Linked DNA regions of Drosophila melanogaster. The protein of the gene in region 1 purifies or fractionates together with the protein of each later gene. This does not show direct contact. Each region holds a gene or a part of one and is shown on either strand. Other genes may lie near its edges. The genes, in order: Arp2, cpa and Arpc4.

What was found.
Region 2: the proteins of Arp2 (region 1) and cpa purify together in Drosophila melanogaster (affinity purification with mass spectrometry, with the first as the bait; one large-scale study listed by BioGRID). This does not show direct contact.
Region 3: the proteins of Arp2 (region 1) and Arpc4 purify together in Drosophila melanogaster (affinity purification with mass spectrometry, with the first as the bait; one large-scale study listed by BioGRID). This does not show direct contact.

Annotation. Positions count from the first base shown.
Region 1 is NC_004354.4:16,548,021-16,556,169, reverse strand, and holds Arp2 (Actin-related protein 2), read left to right. Parts: upstream 1-2,218; 5' UTR 2,219-2,778; coding exon 2,779-2,826; intron 2,827-3,719; coding exon 3,720-3,830; intron 3,831-4,680; coding exon 4,681-4,695; intron 4,696-5,704; coding exon 5,705-5,920; intron 5,921-5,983; coding exon 5,984-6,193; intron 6,194-6,263; coding exon 6,264-6,692; intron 6,693-6,757; coding exon 6,758-6,928; 3' UTR 6,929-7,385; downstream 7,386-8,149. UniProt on the Drosophila melanogaster protein: Functions as ATP-binding component of the Arp2/3 complex which is involved in regulation of actin polymerization and together with an activating nucleation-promoting factor (NPF) mediates the formation of branched actin networks.
Region 2 is NT_033778.4:21,056,139-21,061,060, reverse strand, and holds cpa (capping protein alpha), read right to left. Parts: upstream 3,275-4,922; 5' UTR 3,040-3,274; coding exon 2,799-3,039; intron 2,678-2,798; coding exon 2,508-2,677; intron 2,450-2,507; coding exon 2,000-2,449; 3' UTR 1,178-1,999; downstream 1-1,177. Other genes in the region: mRpL54 (mitochondrial ribosomal protein L54), read right to left, coding at 46-148; CG15653 (uncharacterized protein), read left to right, coding at 593-881, 939-1,162; shg (shotgun), read left to right, coding at 4,588-4,922. UniProt on the Drosophila melanogaster protein: F-actin-capping proteins bind in a Ca(2+)-independent manner to the fast growing ends of actin filaments (barbed end) thereby blocking the exchange of subunits at these ends.
Region 3 is NT_033779.5:6,123,247-6,126,752, reverse strand, and holds Arpc4 (Actin-related protein 2/3 complex, subunit 4), read right to left. Parts: upstream 1,622-3,506; 5' UTR 1,505-1,621; coding exon 998-1,504; intron 930-997; 3' UTR 842-929; downstream 1-841. Other genes in the region: WDR79 (WD repeat domain 79), read left to right, coding at 1-98, 158-821.

The DNA.
Region 1 (8,149 bases):
TAAGTAAGTATAAGGCATGGCACACACATGAGAAACGGATGAGTTTCGGCGTTTCAGATCAATTCAATGATAATGATGGCAATCAAGTTCTCAATTTGCGCCTACACCTCTTCCCAAAAACCGATGATATCAGCTTCTCCTTTATCACTAATCACAACCACTATCAATGCGAAATCAAAAGCTATAAGATATACCACATACATACTCACGCAAGAAATGCCTTCATCGAGATCATATTATCCACGAACCAAGAATATTAACGCTGTACTTTTGCTTCGACTCTTCAACCACCAATAATTGCATTGAACTCTAATCTAAATATTTATACAGATATATATATATATTATATACCGAGTTGGCATTGGAAAACAGTTAGTTTTAGTGATCTATGCACGTATCGTAACAATACCAAGATTAATTAAATCGTAGCTAAAAGAAACAAATCAAGGATGAGGCGGCAGTCGCAGAGTTTCCCTCTTAGCTTTTATAAAAAAAAAAAAGATGGAGAAATGGAAACAACTTACTCAACTAATTGAGAGATACACCATATTTATATAGATATATATATAGCGTTTTTTTTTTTTGTTAATCCTCCACCACAACTATATAATTATTGAAAGTTGATGAAAGCTGTTGGGCCGTTTAAGTTTCAGAGTTTCTGTTCTATATGTGGTTAAAATTGTTAATGTTGTTACACCGCAAATGCATACTTAGTTAGTTAGTCGAGTGAAATGGGAGTTCCCCCAAATCACATTTAATTGCAATAGTCTCGAGTATTGAACGCCAAGAACACCAATTCCATAGAATGATTGTATACACTCAGAAAATCAATCGGCATTTATGTTCGAAAATCGCCGCAAATATTTTCAACAAGTATGGGTTTTTACGGATTTAAAATAATGAAATTGAAAACTAAATTCCATATTGTTAGGCTATAAACAAATGTTTCTATTGATGGACAACATTTCAGGTATAATTTTTGAAAAACAACAAATATTTATTTCAATTGTTAATACCAAAATACGCATAGGTCAACAATTAAGTTTTAATTTTTTTTTTTTAATATAGTTTAATTATCAAAGAACTATACATTTTAAGCCATTAAACGTAGGCAATATTCAGATAATTTTCTGAAATAAATTAATTGTAAATTTTGGATTCTCTTAGGGCGATTTGCATTCCGAGTGTATCAAGAGCCATGGTAAATAATAAAGCTAAGAAGTATTAATAATTCTACACTATGTATGACTAACAATACATTTGCTTAGTTCCCTCGATAAAGAAAGTACATAACTATTGCATGAGGCATAGGCAAAACTTCCTGGCACATAGTAAAAGTAAATAATTGAATAGAACGGCTGAGGAGGAGATGAGTAGATTTTGATAATATGTACGTCAAGACCATGCCAACATACTTATGGGAACTATTTAAAAAGCATTAAAACGTTCAATATAACACATAATACCCAGACAAAAGCAGAATCAAAAAATGCGGGAACGAGACGGCTGCATGGTATATACATACATATATAAGACATTTCGCCTCTTAAAGCAATTATAAAGATAACAAATGAGTAACGTTTATTATATTATTAAATTATACATACATATACATACTATATAAACGGAATAAAATAAATCAGCAACAAACTTTCCATTTTATGGCGTTCGATCACTTAACTTTTTATCCTTGGGAGCAGTATTGTCAAGTTATCATTTTTCTTCTTAATTGCTTAAATTACAATTCTTTAAATACATGCATGTATTCAATGATGGCGCCAAATTTTGAACCTGTTTTAAGTCTTAATTCAAGAATATTTTTCCAAGTATGAGAGTGAACGAGAGGCAAGAGCGCAAACGAAAAATACCAGAAATCAATGTGAGTATTTTGAAATTTCAGCAATTGCCGAATTGGTTTTTCAAATAGATGTGATTAGTTGTTAAATTGCCAAATCTTTAATCCAATAATTTAATTAATAAAGTCTTAATTGAATTGAAATTGTTTTGTGTAAATCCTGTGCAAGTAACATATATTACTAATAAACTTGTATTTTTTAATCTTTTTTAAATTGTTAAAAGTGGCACACAGACTAGTAAACTTAATTAACAAATTTGTAAAATAATAAAAAAATATAATTGGATCTAGTATCTAAACGGTTCTGGTATTTATTTTCGGTGTTTTGTACGCTTCAGTCCAACGCCGATAGTATCGAATATGCATCTATTTTTATTCAACTCTGGGGAGTAACGAGGGAGTTTTTGTACAGCAGTATAACTAAATTATAAGTATAAATAGTCGATAGCGGCAAACTGTTTCGGCCTAAATTTAATTGCGAGTCTAAATTAAGAGTTCAATTCCCAATAACCGCCAAACGAAGCGGCGATAAACGTAAGCGATAGAGTGGCGAAGAGAGCAAGGTTCCCGCCCGCGTGTTGTGAGAGTGTGCGAGTGGAAGAGGAAAGTGTATGATTAAGTACAATCGCTCTCCGGCGGTCCAAATACAAAAAAAGCCGAAAAGGAATCAATTAACAGTAGTGCTCAACAAACGGCCCAGGAAGTCAACAGGAAAGGCGATTGATGTGCAATATTTTGTTTGGTTTTATCGAGCAGAGGCGCTGCGAGCTGTGATTTCAAACCGAATCACAACCAACACCCAAAAAGGCAACCTGGTCGCGTCATCAGTGGAAGTGGAAAGGCAGTTGCCACAGCAGAGGCAGAAGCAACGGGAGTAGCAGAAGCAGTGGTTTTCCAGAGATCCGGTTTTGAGTCCTTCAAGCATGGACAGCAAGGGTCGAAATGTTATCGTCTGTGATAACGGCACTGGGGTAAGATAACGGGAAAGTCACCACCCGCACCGCCCACATCACCCACAAGCGGTGAAAACAGAGCGCACACACCCACACCATCACCAACGACTGGTGTGTGACACACATTTCGAGTGTTGTTGGCTGCGCTTCTTTCGTTTTCTTCTTCTTGTGGACTAAGCAGCGCTTCTGCTGCTGCTGCTTATTTCACTGCTTGCTGGCCAGCGGGCGTTGACGTCGCGGTTAGTCAAGCAGTTGCAGCAGTTGCAATTACGCGATTGCCTCTTCCTCTCCTTTATATTCCGCTTCCCCACTCTTCTTCTTGCTCTCCGCTTGACTAATCAGTGGATTACTCACGATTCCAGCGTTACTCAGTATCTCCCACACCTACATATTTGTCGAAAGAGCGACACTGGCACACACCAACACTTCCATAAAATTTCCGACAATCAGTTCTTATCGCAGGCCCAGAATTTTTGTATTGTGATAACGGTCCGATTTCGATAAGCGTCCGATAAACCACAACAGTAAAAGCGCAAGCAAATGCTGCACCGAGAAAAATGATTTAGCTGGTCCTAAACCAAATAATCAAAACTAATTCAAAAATTTTTGTTTTGTGATAACGGTCCGAATTCGATAAGTCACAGCAGTAAAAACGCAAGGAAATGCTGCACCGGGAAAAATGATATAGCTGGTCTTAAACAAAATGATTAAAAATAATTATTTATTATTATTATGTGCAATTTTTAAGTACCTGTTGATACAAAAGCATTTTAAATTATCATATTACGTGTTAGGGCTTAACTCAAATAATAATATATGTACATATGTCGGCTGTCATATTATTTTAATGTGTTTCCACATACACCATAATATAAATATATGTATTTATGACATCTCCATTTATTTTTCAGTTCGTTAAGTGCGGATATGCCGGCAGCAATTTCCCCACCCACATTTTTCCCTCGATGGTGGGACGACCCATGATTCGGGCGGTCAACAAAATCGGCGATATCGAAGTCAAGGTATGATCCATCGTACTTACCAATTAAAGTATCTAAAATTAATTAACAATATGATGAGATAGTACAACCATATACACTACACAAATTCAATTGTGCACAGGCCATCAAATACACGAATATCCATATATTATATCATTTTTTTTTTCGATGTAACTACTCCATGACTAGTTAAACGGCAAGAAATACATTTAGCGCATAGAAGTTCACTATCCACCAAATTACCCACCATATTTTTTCACCCCTAACCCATCTGATTTTGGAGTGGAATTGCTCTATTTTCTATTCTGTCTATTAGTGTCGCATATCTACTTACTTCTATATAATTTGTTTTCGATCTACCCCATTCGCATATCGTTTCATTTACCATCTTGATTTCATCACTTCTGGGGGTCACTTATCCCAATATTGCATTTTTGCTTGAGTTGCATTGGTCTCGGTGTGTGGGCCCTCATATTATTATACACATGCATACAAAATATATAAATATATATTATGGTAAATATATCATGCTAAAAGTTGGTCCGTGGATATCTGATTTTAACCAAGGTTTAGGCATAGCTTAATAAACTGTGGATATGGAGGCTGAACCCCGCAGACATTAAGCTTTTTTTTTTTTTGAGTGCATCACTTGATTTTCGATATATAGATCTTACTTAGAAGTTCTTTACTTTAGACAGAAGAAACATCAAATTAAGAATCATTAAGAACACATCTTGAATAGCAATAAAAAAAAAAACGATACAGAAAATAAATATTTTTAAAATTGTAATCTTTCTGTTCTTTTTTAATATTCTTATACATTTTTCTGTTCTTTTTTTCACATATATTTTTAAAAACAAATGTTTTGCAGGATTTACATGTCGATGTAAGTCAAGTTTGTATAGTTAAAAAAAAAACCAAAATCCAAACTACCACTACCAGAAATCTAATCACCAAGTAAACATAAAATAATAAAAATTTGTATACGATTGACACAATACGAAAATACCAAAAACCAAAATAACACACGCTTGGCAAAATATTGCGAAATTTTTTTGAAGTTCAAGCTGCGCACTTAGGATTTAATTAATTAATTAACTTAACTGTTAACTGTTCACATTTTTCACTAGTTGTTTGCCTTGAATATTTTCCCAACTATATTCCGGCCCCGTCCAACTATCTTGTTGCTTCCTTTTGGCCATCATCTATAATTGTACTCCATCCACAAAATCGACAAAATCCACAATCGAAAAAAAAAAATTAAAAAAAAAAACAAATCTATTAATTCTCATATCGGATAAATCTGAGGCGTGTTTAAAACCGAATTCCAATCGAATCTGTTCAATTTAACGACAAATTTACGTAAATATAATTTTTGTTATTTAAGTTTTACTCCTATGTTTTCATACCATTTGTTTCCTAGCTTACACCCTTTGGTTTTTTTTGTACATATCTTAAGGCAACCAAATTCAGTTGCTTCTCGTTTTAATTGTGATTTGCTGATTTGAAATTGTTATGTGTTCTCGTCTGCATGATGTCCTGTGTCTGCTTAGCCCTATTTTAATCCCCCGTTTGTTTTGCACGTCCCTGTGTTTGCCAGTGTTCCGGAAAGGCAAGTCCTTTTCCGCAACTACTCACACTCACTGCTGCCTCTTGTTAATCGTTGATTGTTTAGACGAGTTTAGTTGCATTCTTGTAGTGTGCTCGCTGTTATTGTGCCTAACACCTGTGTATGTCTCCCACACTAATGACTAACCATCCCAGCCTCTAAGCAAATACCCAACCAATCAACCATCCAACCAACCAAACAGTCCAAACCAATCCGAATCCCAATGGCTATCCATTGACCAAGCCACGGACACTAACGCTGCGTCCTCTGACGAACGAATTTACAGGATCTGATGGTCGGCGATGAGGCCTCACAGCTGCGATCCCTGCTGGAGGTCTCCTATCCGATGGAGAACGGTGTGGTGCGCAACTGGGACGACATGTGCCACGTGTGGGACTACACGTTCGGTCCCAAAAAGATGGACATCGATCCGACGAACACAAAAATCCTGCTAACCGAGCCGCCCATGAATCCCACAAAGAATCGCGAGAAGATGATTGAGGTGAGGTCATACCATATTTTAAAATCCCACTTCAAACTAACATTGTTGTGTTTGTGTTCACAGGTGATGTTCGAGAAATATGGCTTCGATTCGGCGTACATTGCCATCCAGGCCGTGCTGACGCTATATGCCCAGGGTCTGATCTCTGGCGTGGTGATCGATTCGGGCGATGGTGTAACGCATATATGTCCCGTCTACGAGGAGTTTGCCCTGCCCCATCTGACGCGACGATTGGACATTGCCGGTCGGGATATCACTCGCTATTTGATTAAGGTTGCTTTGCCTTACAATTACATATAGCCAAACTGTGACTTATACTTTCGCATCTATCTATGATCATTAGTTACTGTTACTACGTGGCTACGCTTTCAATCATTCCGCCGACTTCGAAACGGTTCGCATAATGAAGGAGAAGCTCTGCTACATTGGCTACGACATCGAGATGGAGCAGCGTTTGGCCCTGGAGACGACGGTGCTGGTGGAATCGTACACGCTACCCGACGGTCGTGTTATCAAGGTCGGTGGCGAGAGATTTGAGGCGCCAGAGGCTCTGTTCCAGCCGCATTTGATCAACGTCGAGGGACCGGGCATTGCGGAACTGGCCTTCAACACCATCCAGGCGGCAGACATCGACATACGGCCCGAACTCTACAAGCACATAGTTCTGTCCGGCGGCTCCACCATGTATCCGGGTCTTCCCAGTCGGCTGGAGCGTGAGATCAAACAGCTGTACCTGGAGCGGGTACTCAAGAACGATACGGAAAAGCTGGCGGTAAGTTGTCAAGTAAAGCTAATCAATGCACATCGTGTTTAACAAATTGAACGATTACATTGCAGAAATTCAAAATACGCATTGAGGATCCACCGCGACGCAAGGATATGGTCTTTATCGGCGGAGCTGTTCTGGCGGAGGTGACAAAGGATCGCGACGGCTTCTGGATGTCCAAGCAGGAGTATCAGGAACAGGGTCTCAAAGTATTGCAAAAGCTGCAAAAGATCAGTCACTAGAGGCGGATGGATGCGAAATCAGTGTGTGTGTGTGTGCGGACCGCAAGAAATAGGATAAAAAAGTGATAGATTTCTTTTCTCTATTTTCTATAGGTTTAAACCTTTCAGATTTACGTGATATATCCGTCTATATATGTTTTTTTTTTTGTGTGTGCCTGTGCGAGTGGGCGTGTCTGTTGAGCAGGATTGGTCCACTTGCCCTTAGATTATCTATAATCGCAGACATGTCGTCACTGGTCGTTATCCCCGTACAATATAATGTAATATTTCTTTGAGCGCGAAAACTTTAATTCGATAGTCGCCTAAATTGTGTAACCCTGCATTAGTGTGTTTAATTGTTTATAATTACGTCTAAAATTCAAACCCAAAAGCCCTTTTCTTTAATGAATACGCATATATAACTATATATATATACATATATAAATTCAAAGCACCTCGAGTGCGGCGATATTTTTGTAAACGCAAAATGTTTCATTTCCAGCGAGTATTTCACATTAAGTATTAACTAGGCCAAGTCTGCTAGTAGCAGCTACTAAAATCGTGTGTGTGTTAAGACAGAGACAGAGACAGAGGAAATATAACGAGGAAGTTGCATAGCACAGAAGGAGAAAGCGCGAGTTCGGTCGTTAACTAAATACACTGATTGATTCGATCCCGTCTCGCCTCCCGACACTCGACCTTAAAGTAAGCATTTCTGGATTGTCTCCAACTAGATAAAGATGAAGTTACCTACCCATAAAGATACAGATAATCGAAGTCACAAGATTACGCATTTACGTTGCCCCATAATCGAAAGTACCATCAGTCGAAGTGTTAAATTTGATTTAATTTCCTTACCTGCCTTTTCTAGTTAGTTGCAATTTGATGATTGTTGGGGTCGCAACTATCGGCATATGATGAATAGTATATACATATACATATGTGTGATCCATATACATATATCCGTATATGTAAAATGAATGTGGAATGCCAATTATGTAAGTGAATGCAATAAACGTAATTATGTATGATGTGTACTGTATACTGTAGTCTAAAACTAAATCGCATACGACTTTTTTATGGTTTTTTTTTTGCCAAATTAAAAACAAAACAAAAATGACAACAAGAGAGCATGCTATAGTCGAATTCCCCGACTATCAGATACCCGAAAAGAGTTGTTTGGCAAATGGATAGAAATTTAAGAGACTAATAAAAATATGAAAAAATTCAAAACTTTTTTTT
Region 2 (4,922 bases), on another chromosome or scaffold:
TTTACTATTAGTTGTTAACTATTTAACCTGGATGTGGAGGCTCACCTGGCGCCGCCGGTTTTGCAGCATAAAAACGTGCCCAGTTTCCTATCGCTGGGGCTATCAATCGCTGCCTCGCCATCTGGAAAACTGCGGTTAGGCTGGTCATGTCTGCTATGTGCTTTATTTAATCCGTTTTCGTCACTTTAATAGAAAAACAAATGATAAATTACAGATATTTACAAAACTGTGCGTTTTGTTGTATAATCTGCTAACTATAAGTGTGGCACTGCAGCCCTGGTTATAAAGTATACGACCAGTCAGCTGATTTTTCAAAACAAATAACTATCGAAATTATTTTTAAATGAAAAGCAATTTTATGAGCAATTTTATAATATGACTTAATTGTCACTAAAACAACATAACAATAGATGATGTTGTTATATTTTCTGCAAATAATTTGCATATAAATGCATTTAGAGGTGGACTTCGGTCTTAATAAGCCTTTTCACATAACGATATCGACCAGCTGTCATCGCTAATTCGACGCCGGCTATACGGTATATTACACAAGTAACAGCAGCTGGATTGTAAATAAAAAAGCGTTAGCAAGATGGTTGGACTCAAGTTTCCGTCGAACCGAACACTGGGCAATATTTGTGTCTACGGTGCGGTGGCCTCCATATCCGCTGTGATGTACATGAAATGGAAGATGGAGGATCGGGTGAAATCCGCAGAGTACTACAAACTGGCCTTGAAGGCACTGCGGAGCCATCGAGGAGCAGTTGGTCTCCTGGGTGAACCCATCAAGGACTCTGGCATCGATCTGTCCAACGCCAACAACAATTGCAATGCGGAGGAGGCGCGTTGTGAGGTGGCTGTGCGGGGCAGCAAGGATAAAGGTAGATCCATCGATTTTGAAAGCAAATCTTTGGCGTTTACCAACCTTATATTTGCAGGAACTTTATACTTTTGGGCGTCCAATCAGCCGGATAGAGGCTGGCTGATCGATCGACTGGAGCTGGAAACAAAACTCAACCCAGAGAAACGATTTTTGCTTAAAAAATCCGAGGAACTAACCTTCGATCTGCCCGAGAGTATAACCAAACAAACTGCCCAGCAAGTTGATTCCAATGTCATTCTATCCGCATCGGATCAACAACCAGAAACACATTCAAAGTGAAGACAATCCGAATGTCCGATTCAATTAGTTTATTCTCTTTAAATTTGACTAATTCAAGCAATCTTAAATGTTTTATAGTTATGTTATTTTAATTACAAATTTATTGTTTTTATAAAATCAAAGTCTTTAGTTATTGTTTGTCAATGGAGAGCTGGCAAAAATGATCAGTGGTTTAGCATAGTTATTATTCATGCTCATACTAGGTGGTTGGTTTGTGAACAATCGGGAAAGCGAAAAACTTGAATGAGTGCTCCTAATGATACCACTTAAAATAGTCGAGAGTCGGCTGGTTGGTCTTCAAAGACACGAAGAATTGACTGGCTCATCGAGAGCGCAGATCTCGAGCTTGATTCGTTTAAAATTAGAATAATACATAGGTCAGAGGACATGATAAAATCCGCGTTTAATGCTCTTCTTAAACGATAAAGGCGACAATTGGTGGCGATCGTGACGTAGACGAGGCGGCAGTGCATCGTTCACCGTCAGGCTAAAGTCATCCAAATCCTTGCAATCAAATCGTCTCCGATCGTACTCGATATATGTGTAGTTATGTTTACGCACTTTCGTCGTTGTATAACACAGTATAAATACAGGCCGTATATATATATATAAGTAGGTATATGTTCGTATGTATATAGCCAATTACAGACATTTGCTTTTTCGGCAGGCACCTGCACCTGGCCGCCCTCGTTTCTCGTATTCCTGCTACTTCGTTTCGGATGCTGTGGTGTTAATGCTGGTGATCGGTTCCTATGCTCGCTTGGCCATGGCAAGTGGAAGACTATTGGGCCGCTTTGTCGACTGTGTCCGCTCCTCTTCCGCTTGCACCTCCTGGTCTTATTGCGTCTTCAGTTCCTTGCCAATGCTGTACGAGACGATTTTGCTCCAGTCGATCTTGGTCCTGGTGATGGGCAACTGGCGACGCATTGCCTTGAATGTCGTGTCCGACATCGTCTGATAGTTCTCCGAAATGGCCAGCTGGTACTCATTCTCGGCGTCCTCGATCAGACGGATCACCTCCTTGGCCACCTGCTGCTCGTTGCTGACCACCACGCTTTCGCGGCACTCCTTTGAGGACACCAGCTGGACGTTGCCGTCCTCGTAGTAATGCACCTGCACCTTGAGCACACCCTTCAGTTCGGCGGTTCCGCTGCCCGCCTGGAAGGTCACATGCCACTGGGAGCGCCATCGGCCATTCCAATAGTTCTTCGGCTGGAACTGGTGGTCTTCGATGCAAATGGTCAGGGTGATCTGGTTGCCCTGCGCCTTTCCAAAAACAGAGCTGACCTGTAGAGAAAATGTTACGGGTTATTGTAAGCAATAGAGCGTTTTTCATTCAACTTACCCCGTGTCTATAATGACTGGCAGTGTAGGCGAGCGTCTCCAGGTCGAGGGCCGCCCTCCAGGGCTCCGCAGTGGCATCTGCCTCTACGTCCTGGTAGTCGGAAGCCTCTTTTCGGAGGTGGTCGTATTTGAAGGCTTGCTTTGTGCGCGGGTCGTAGAAGCGACCGTTTCCTGGAATGCAATTGCTTATCAGTGTGGGGCTCAAGATATCGACCGAAAGCCAAACAATGTGTGTAGGTGACTCATATGGCAGGCTTTGTCCATTTAAGGGCATTGATGGAACTGAACTCACCCAGATCGTTGTGTTCCGATATGATGGCGTTATGATCGGTGCCCTCGATGCGAACCGGAGTCAGCTGGTCCTTGTTGTATTGGGCGAAGGCGTGGCTAGCCCCATCCTTTAGCAGAGTGTCATTCTTGAGGAGCTCCCGCACATCGTTGAACACTTCGTTGAACTCGCCGGGCGGCGCATGTAGGATGAAGTCCGATACGATGCGCACCTTCTCCGCATCGGTGATCGGTGTCTGCTCCATAGTTCCACTGGTGATTCACGAAATCGGGGCTGGGCGGTTGTTTGGTTTGGTCTGGTTTCCCCTCCGGTTCCTAGGGTTCTACCTTTCGACGGGATCTTCTTGTGGAGTGGTTGGAAGTTGCGGTGTCGCTGGAACTCTTCCTTGACCGTTTTTTCGGCGCTGCAATCTTTTTTCTCCGCAATTAATGGGCCAAGACGATGACGATTCGATTCACTTTTTTTTCCACTCTTTGCTAGGGATGGGAAATATTTGTGTACCTGTACCGGATGCGATTCACCGTATTTTACGGGCAGTCTACACTGCTCCATAATCCGACGGGTGAATGGCAAAAGTCTTGGCGCGTTACTTGAATTGCAATAAAAAAACTTTTAACGATGTAGAATGTAATACATTATAGAAATAGTTCCTCGAGACCAATAAATATCATTGCCTGTTCAAAACCAAACTCAATCAGAACTTTTTTAAAGCAAATTATGTTATTGTTGTACATGGTAGCTAGTTTTGGTTATTAAATATTTTTCAGTTATATAAGTATTAAAGTATTGATCAACTCGTTTAAAATTAACCTGTTTGTTTGTGAAAAATAGTTGTTAATAATTCTATTTGAAAGCCCAAGCTGGGCCATTTTTATCTTCCAGCTTCCATTTTTAAAGAAATATTTGTTATATTAAATCCAGTGTAATTGATTCACATCAACGTATTTATCGAGAAGTGTAGACAGTATATAGTATCGATAAAACGAAAACATCGAGATTATTAACCGTTAATTATCGATGACCGAGGAATCGACGGTGTCTCACATCTCTAACGCCGCCCGTTGTTTTTGTTGCATTGTGTTTTTGCTTTTGAATTGAGCGGTTGTCTCGCGCGTCGATCGCAGTTTCAAAATCGGTGTGGCTCCGCAGCTTCGTTGTAAGTCGACAATAAAAGCGATCGAAGTGAAAGAAAATACGTTTTGCGATCTTTTTATTTAAAATAATTCGCCAGAAAGTACAAGTTCACAACGAAATACCATCGAAAAGTGCCTTTTTACCAAAAGTCGTTGGTAACACACATACCAACGCAGCGAACCGAACCACACGCACACAAATGCGCGCGCTTGGCGGTGTGCGTGTAACCACTTTTTTACCTGGTCTTACCTGTTTGCGGTGCGAAAGAGAGGAGGCAACAGAAACGGAGAAAGAGAGTGCCCAAGCGGACGAGTGAAAGATAAAAGTGAACGAAAATATCAGCCAGAGCAGCTGCACCGAAATCGGAATAAGTCAGTTAACAATCAGGGCGCGCACTGTACGAGTTCGATTCGATTGATAATTATTGAGCGGTTGCCATGAAAATGCAGTCCAAACAAACGGTACACTGAGAGAAACGAAACAAGAAGAAGAGTGCAAATAGAATAGAATAAAAAAGAAGTGGAAGTAGAAGTGGGCAACACAAACAAAAGTAAAAGGTGTGTGAGTGAAATAATACTGGGTGATTCACGAAGAAGTGCTCAAAAGTGTTGCGGTTGAAAAAAAGAGAGTCTGCGATGGCGGATCGCCGCTAGAGAGTATGTCCACCAGTGTCCAGCGAATGTCCAGAAGCTACCACTGCATCAATATGTCGGCGACCCCGCAGGCCGGCCACCTAAATCCCGCCCAGCAACAGACGCACCAGCAGCACAAGCGAAAATGCCGCGACCTTGGCAGGCGACTAATCCCCGCGAGACTCCTCCTGGGCGTTATCGTGGCCATCAGCCTTCTGTCACCCGCCCTCGCACTTCACTCGCCGCCGGACAAAAACTTTTCCGGCGACAATCGTAAGCCCGCCTTCAAAAACTGCGCCGGATACGCTCCTAAGGTCAAAGAGGAGCAGCCCGAAAACACCTACGTTCTCACCGTAGAGGC
Region 3 (3,506 bases), on another chromosome or scaffold:
GACGAAGTAATGGCGGCCATTTCCTTGGCCTTCTCCCATGACGGCGAGCAGATCTATGCGGGATACAAGCGCTGCATCAAGATCTTCGACACCAGCAGGTGAGTCGGCTGCTTATTTTCGTACGCTCATTTAATGCAACTCAAACTCTACTCCGTAGACCCGGACGTTTTTGCGACGATTACCCTGTCAAGTTTGCCATATCCTGCATTGCACAGACCACTGCGCACCCGCACACTCTAACCTGCGGCAACTGGCATGGCTACATCCAGCACTTTGACTTGCGGTGTAGCCACAAGCAGGGTCCTCTCTTCACGCTGGGAGGGCACAAGGGCGGCATCACACAACTGCGCTATGGAGAGTTTGGCAACGGGGAGTGGCATCTGTTCAGTGGAGCTCGCAAGTGCGATAAGATCTTGCAGTGGGACATGCGCAACTACAAGCAGCCACTGGTGGAGTTGCAGCGCCATGTGGACACCAATCAGCGTATTCAATTCGACCTCGCATCCGACAGCAATTGGCTGGCTAGCGGTGACACACGGGGATTCGTCAATGTTTGGGATCTCAAAAAATACGGAGATCCTTCCGTACTGCCCCTGCATTCAGACTGCTGCAACGGAGTGGCACTCAATCCGGCTATGCCGATTCTAGCCACCAGCTCGGGGCAGTTCCACTTTACAGACCAAAGTGCCCAAGGGGACAACGTGACCTTAAACGGAACGGAAACGACGGAGTTGCCGGCGCCGGCCGATGTGAATCAAAATCAGAAGGAAGTTCTCTACGAGAACGCAGTGGTCATGTGGTGGTGCGGCCAAACGGGATAGCATATAAAACTGGTGTAGTCGAGTAAATAATACAAAATCCGTCTTTATTCTTGAATCCATTTGGAAATACTAAAGCATCATGACCGGGTCCATACTGGTTGCCTTCACCTGCAAAGGATTTGCGAGAGTAAGTTGGCGTCGACTCAATGGCGATGGCTGTTAGGTGGAACACTTACCTAGAACCGTTTGAGGAACTCCTCGGCGCAGGTGCGTGCCCTGGCATTGACCGCCAGTTTCATTTCGCTGATCTCCTTGTCGATCTCCTCCATGAAGCTAATGACAAAGTCCACCAGTTTGTGCTTATACATCTGCTCCGTGTGGAAGTTGGTGATGAGGAAGCTTATGTCGTAGCCCTCGATGGGCTTGCGGCGCAGTATGACGAACGACTCGGCGCGTCGCATCATGAACCTGGTGAACTTGTGGCACAGTATGCGCTCAATCTCGTCGGCCTGCTTCACGGCGATGCTCACGCGCACCGAGTTAATGGACGGCTCGATCAGCACCTTCTCCCGCTCGTTGCGCGACACGACGACGGGCGTGAGCACCAGCTCCTTGCTGGAACAGATCTCCACCTCCGGCTTGTTGTGCCGCTCCACCACCTGCGAGGGGAAGTCCTGCAGGCACATCGCCGCCGTCAGCGAGTGTCGCACGGCGGTCAGGTAGGGCTTCAATGTGGCTGCCATTGTGTCTGGGTGTCGGGTTGTTGTCTGCTGCCTGCGGTTTGTTGTATCTGCACTTTTTACTTAACTTATTATGATTCACAGGCCCTGGAATTTATCAACCAGAAAAGATGTGACCATGCGCGGCTGGCAGGAAAATACCAATGCCGAGGTGGGGCCGCAAAAACATAGCAACTATTTGGAATTTGTTATGAAACAGTTTCTATTATATGTTTGGGAAGACTATGCATAAAGTTTATACAATCAATATTAAACATGTTGTTTTTAAACATTTATCAAATCGCACTTAAAACATTTCTTATGATGTCCTGTGTTAAGATGGTAAGAAACTTGACTATCAAGAACTTACCCGAGACCACAACCACTGTTCCATTTCCATTTGTATCTTATCTTTGTGGAATTTTTAGGAGTGAAACAATTTAAATCATACCTAAATTTTAAAAATTTAAGAAAAATGTATATGGCTAGAAGCGTTAAAATTTGAAATGGAAATATCAAATATATGTGTACCATATTAAAGTCCGAAAACCCAACACACCAGCAAAGAGGAAAAATGTTAATTTAGAAGAAAACAGCATCCACCAATTATAAATATTGCATTTATTTGTTTAATGCACTTTTATTATACAATTGTTATAAGTATTTTTGCTCGCATATGGTCAGTTATTTGTGGCTTATATGAACTTAAATTATGCGTGAACCTAGAAAGTGAGTATTTTAATCAATCGTTCAAAATTGTAACCCTTTCCTACTCTCAATACTCAAAAAATGTTTCGGCTGATTATTGCATTGGATTAGACATTAATATATCATAAATTGAGTAAATATCAAAGCATTTTATGCTTTGCGTTTATATTTTGTTCGTTTTTTCTTGAGTATGCTTGAAAGTTTTCGTGTCTGGGTAATTTGGTGTCCTGTGCGTGTTAAATTGTTTTGCCAATGCACATTTTTATTAAGAGATTTATGTTATTGATATTCATTTGTAGAAGCCATAGGTTTACACGAGTACACATACATATATAACGATATAAGATTTAAATTTAAGCTAATCTTTAAAGCGCCCTTTGGTGCAAAATTAAAAATAACTCGCAGGTTTTTGGAAAAAATTTTCCTAAATATTCCATTTGGTTTGCCCTAAATACTTTTTTTTTTTTTTATTATAACCCCCACATTCACTCTCCTCTTAAACCCATTTCTAAAAATAACCCGACGTTAGACAAAATATGCATTTCCATATAATATTACACACATTAATGTATGCTTATACGTAGTTTCCTTCCATTTATATTAATGTCTATATCAGCGTTTTTAGTGTTTGTGTTGTATGTAAATAAAGGAAAAATGCGTTTCGTGTGTTTTACATGGTATTTGATTTTATTGAATTGTATAAGCATTTCTTATGTATTTTTTCTGTTAGACATTTATTTTATAGATAGAAAATGCGAAACTTATAAGAACAAATTATTTGTTAGTGTAAAACTATATTCAGCATGTATATGTATCATGTTGTTGCAAGTTAGTAAATTAAAATTACCACTAAAGTATACATTAACTTAATTAAAAACATTTTCAAATTTTTACTCGCGAAAGCCATTCATAGATGCAAATACAGCGTGCTTATTATTTTGAGAATACCTCAGTCGATGCCACAGTAATTAAAAAAAAAAAAAAACTTGAACATTCAAGACTAAGACTTTGAAAATAATGAATCCAAAACGAATATAACATTCTTGGAACTCAAGGTAAAAAGTGTTTTAAACTTTCAACTGAAATCAACGTGAACTTTTAAAAGAATTTGAAATTTTAAATGACAGGCATGCATTCAACTTGCATAGGCTTTTCTGCCTGGGCTTTTAAGTTTAAATGTAGATTTCCTTTACTAATTTTTTTTTTGCATTAACTTGCCGTAAGCATTCATTTCTTTTCGCTTTATAGTAGCTTATTCGTGTTTCATTATAGAGCTCGTGAGAAAACTCGCTCAGCGGTATCTTGAGACTTTGCCCTT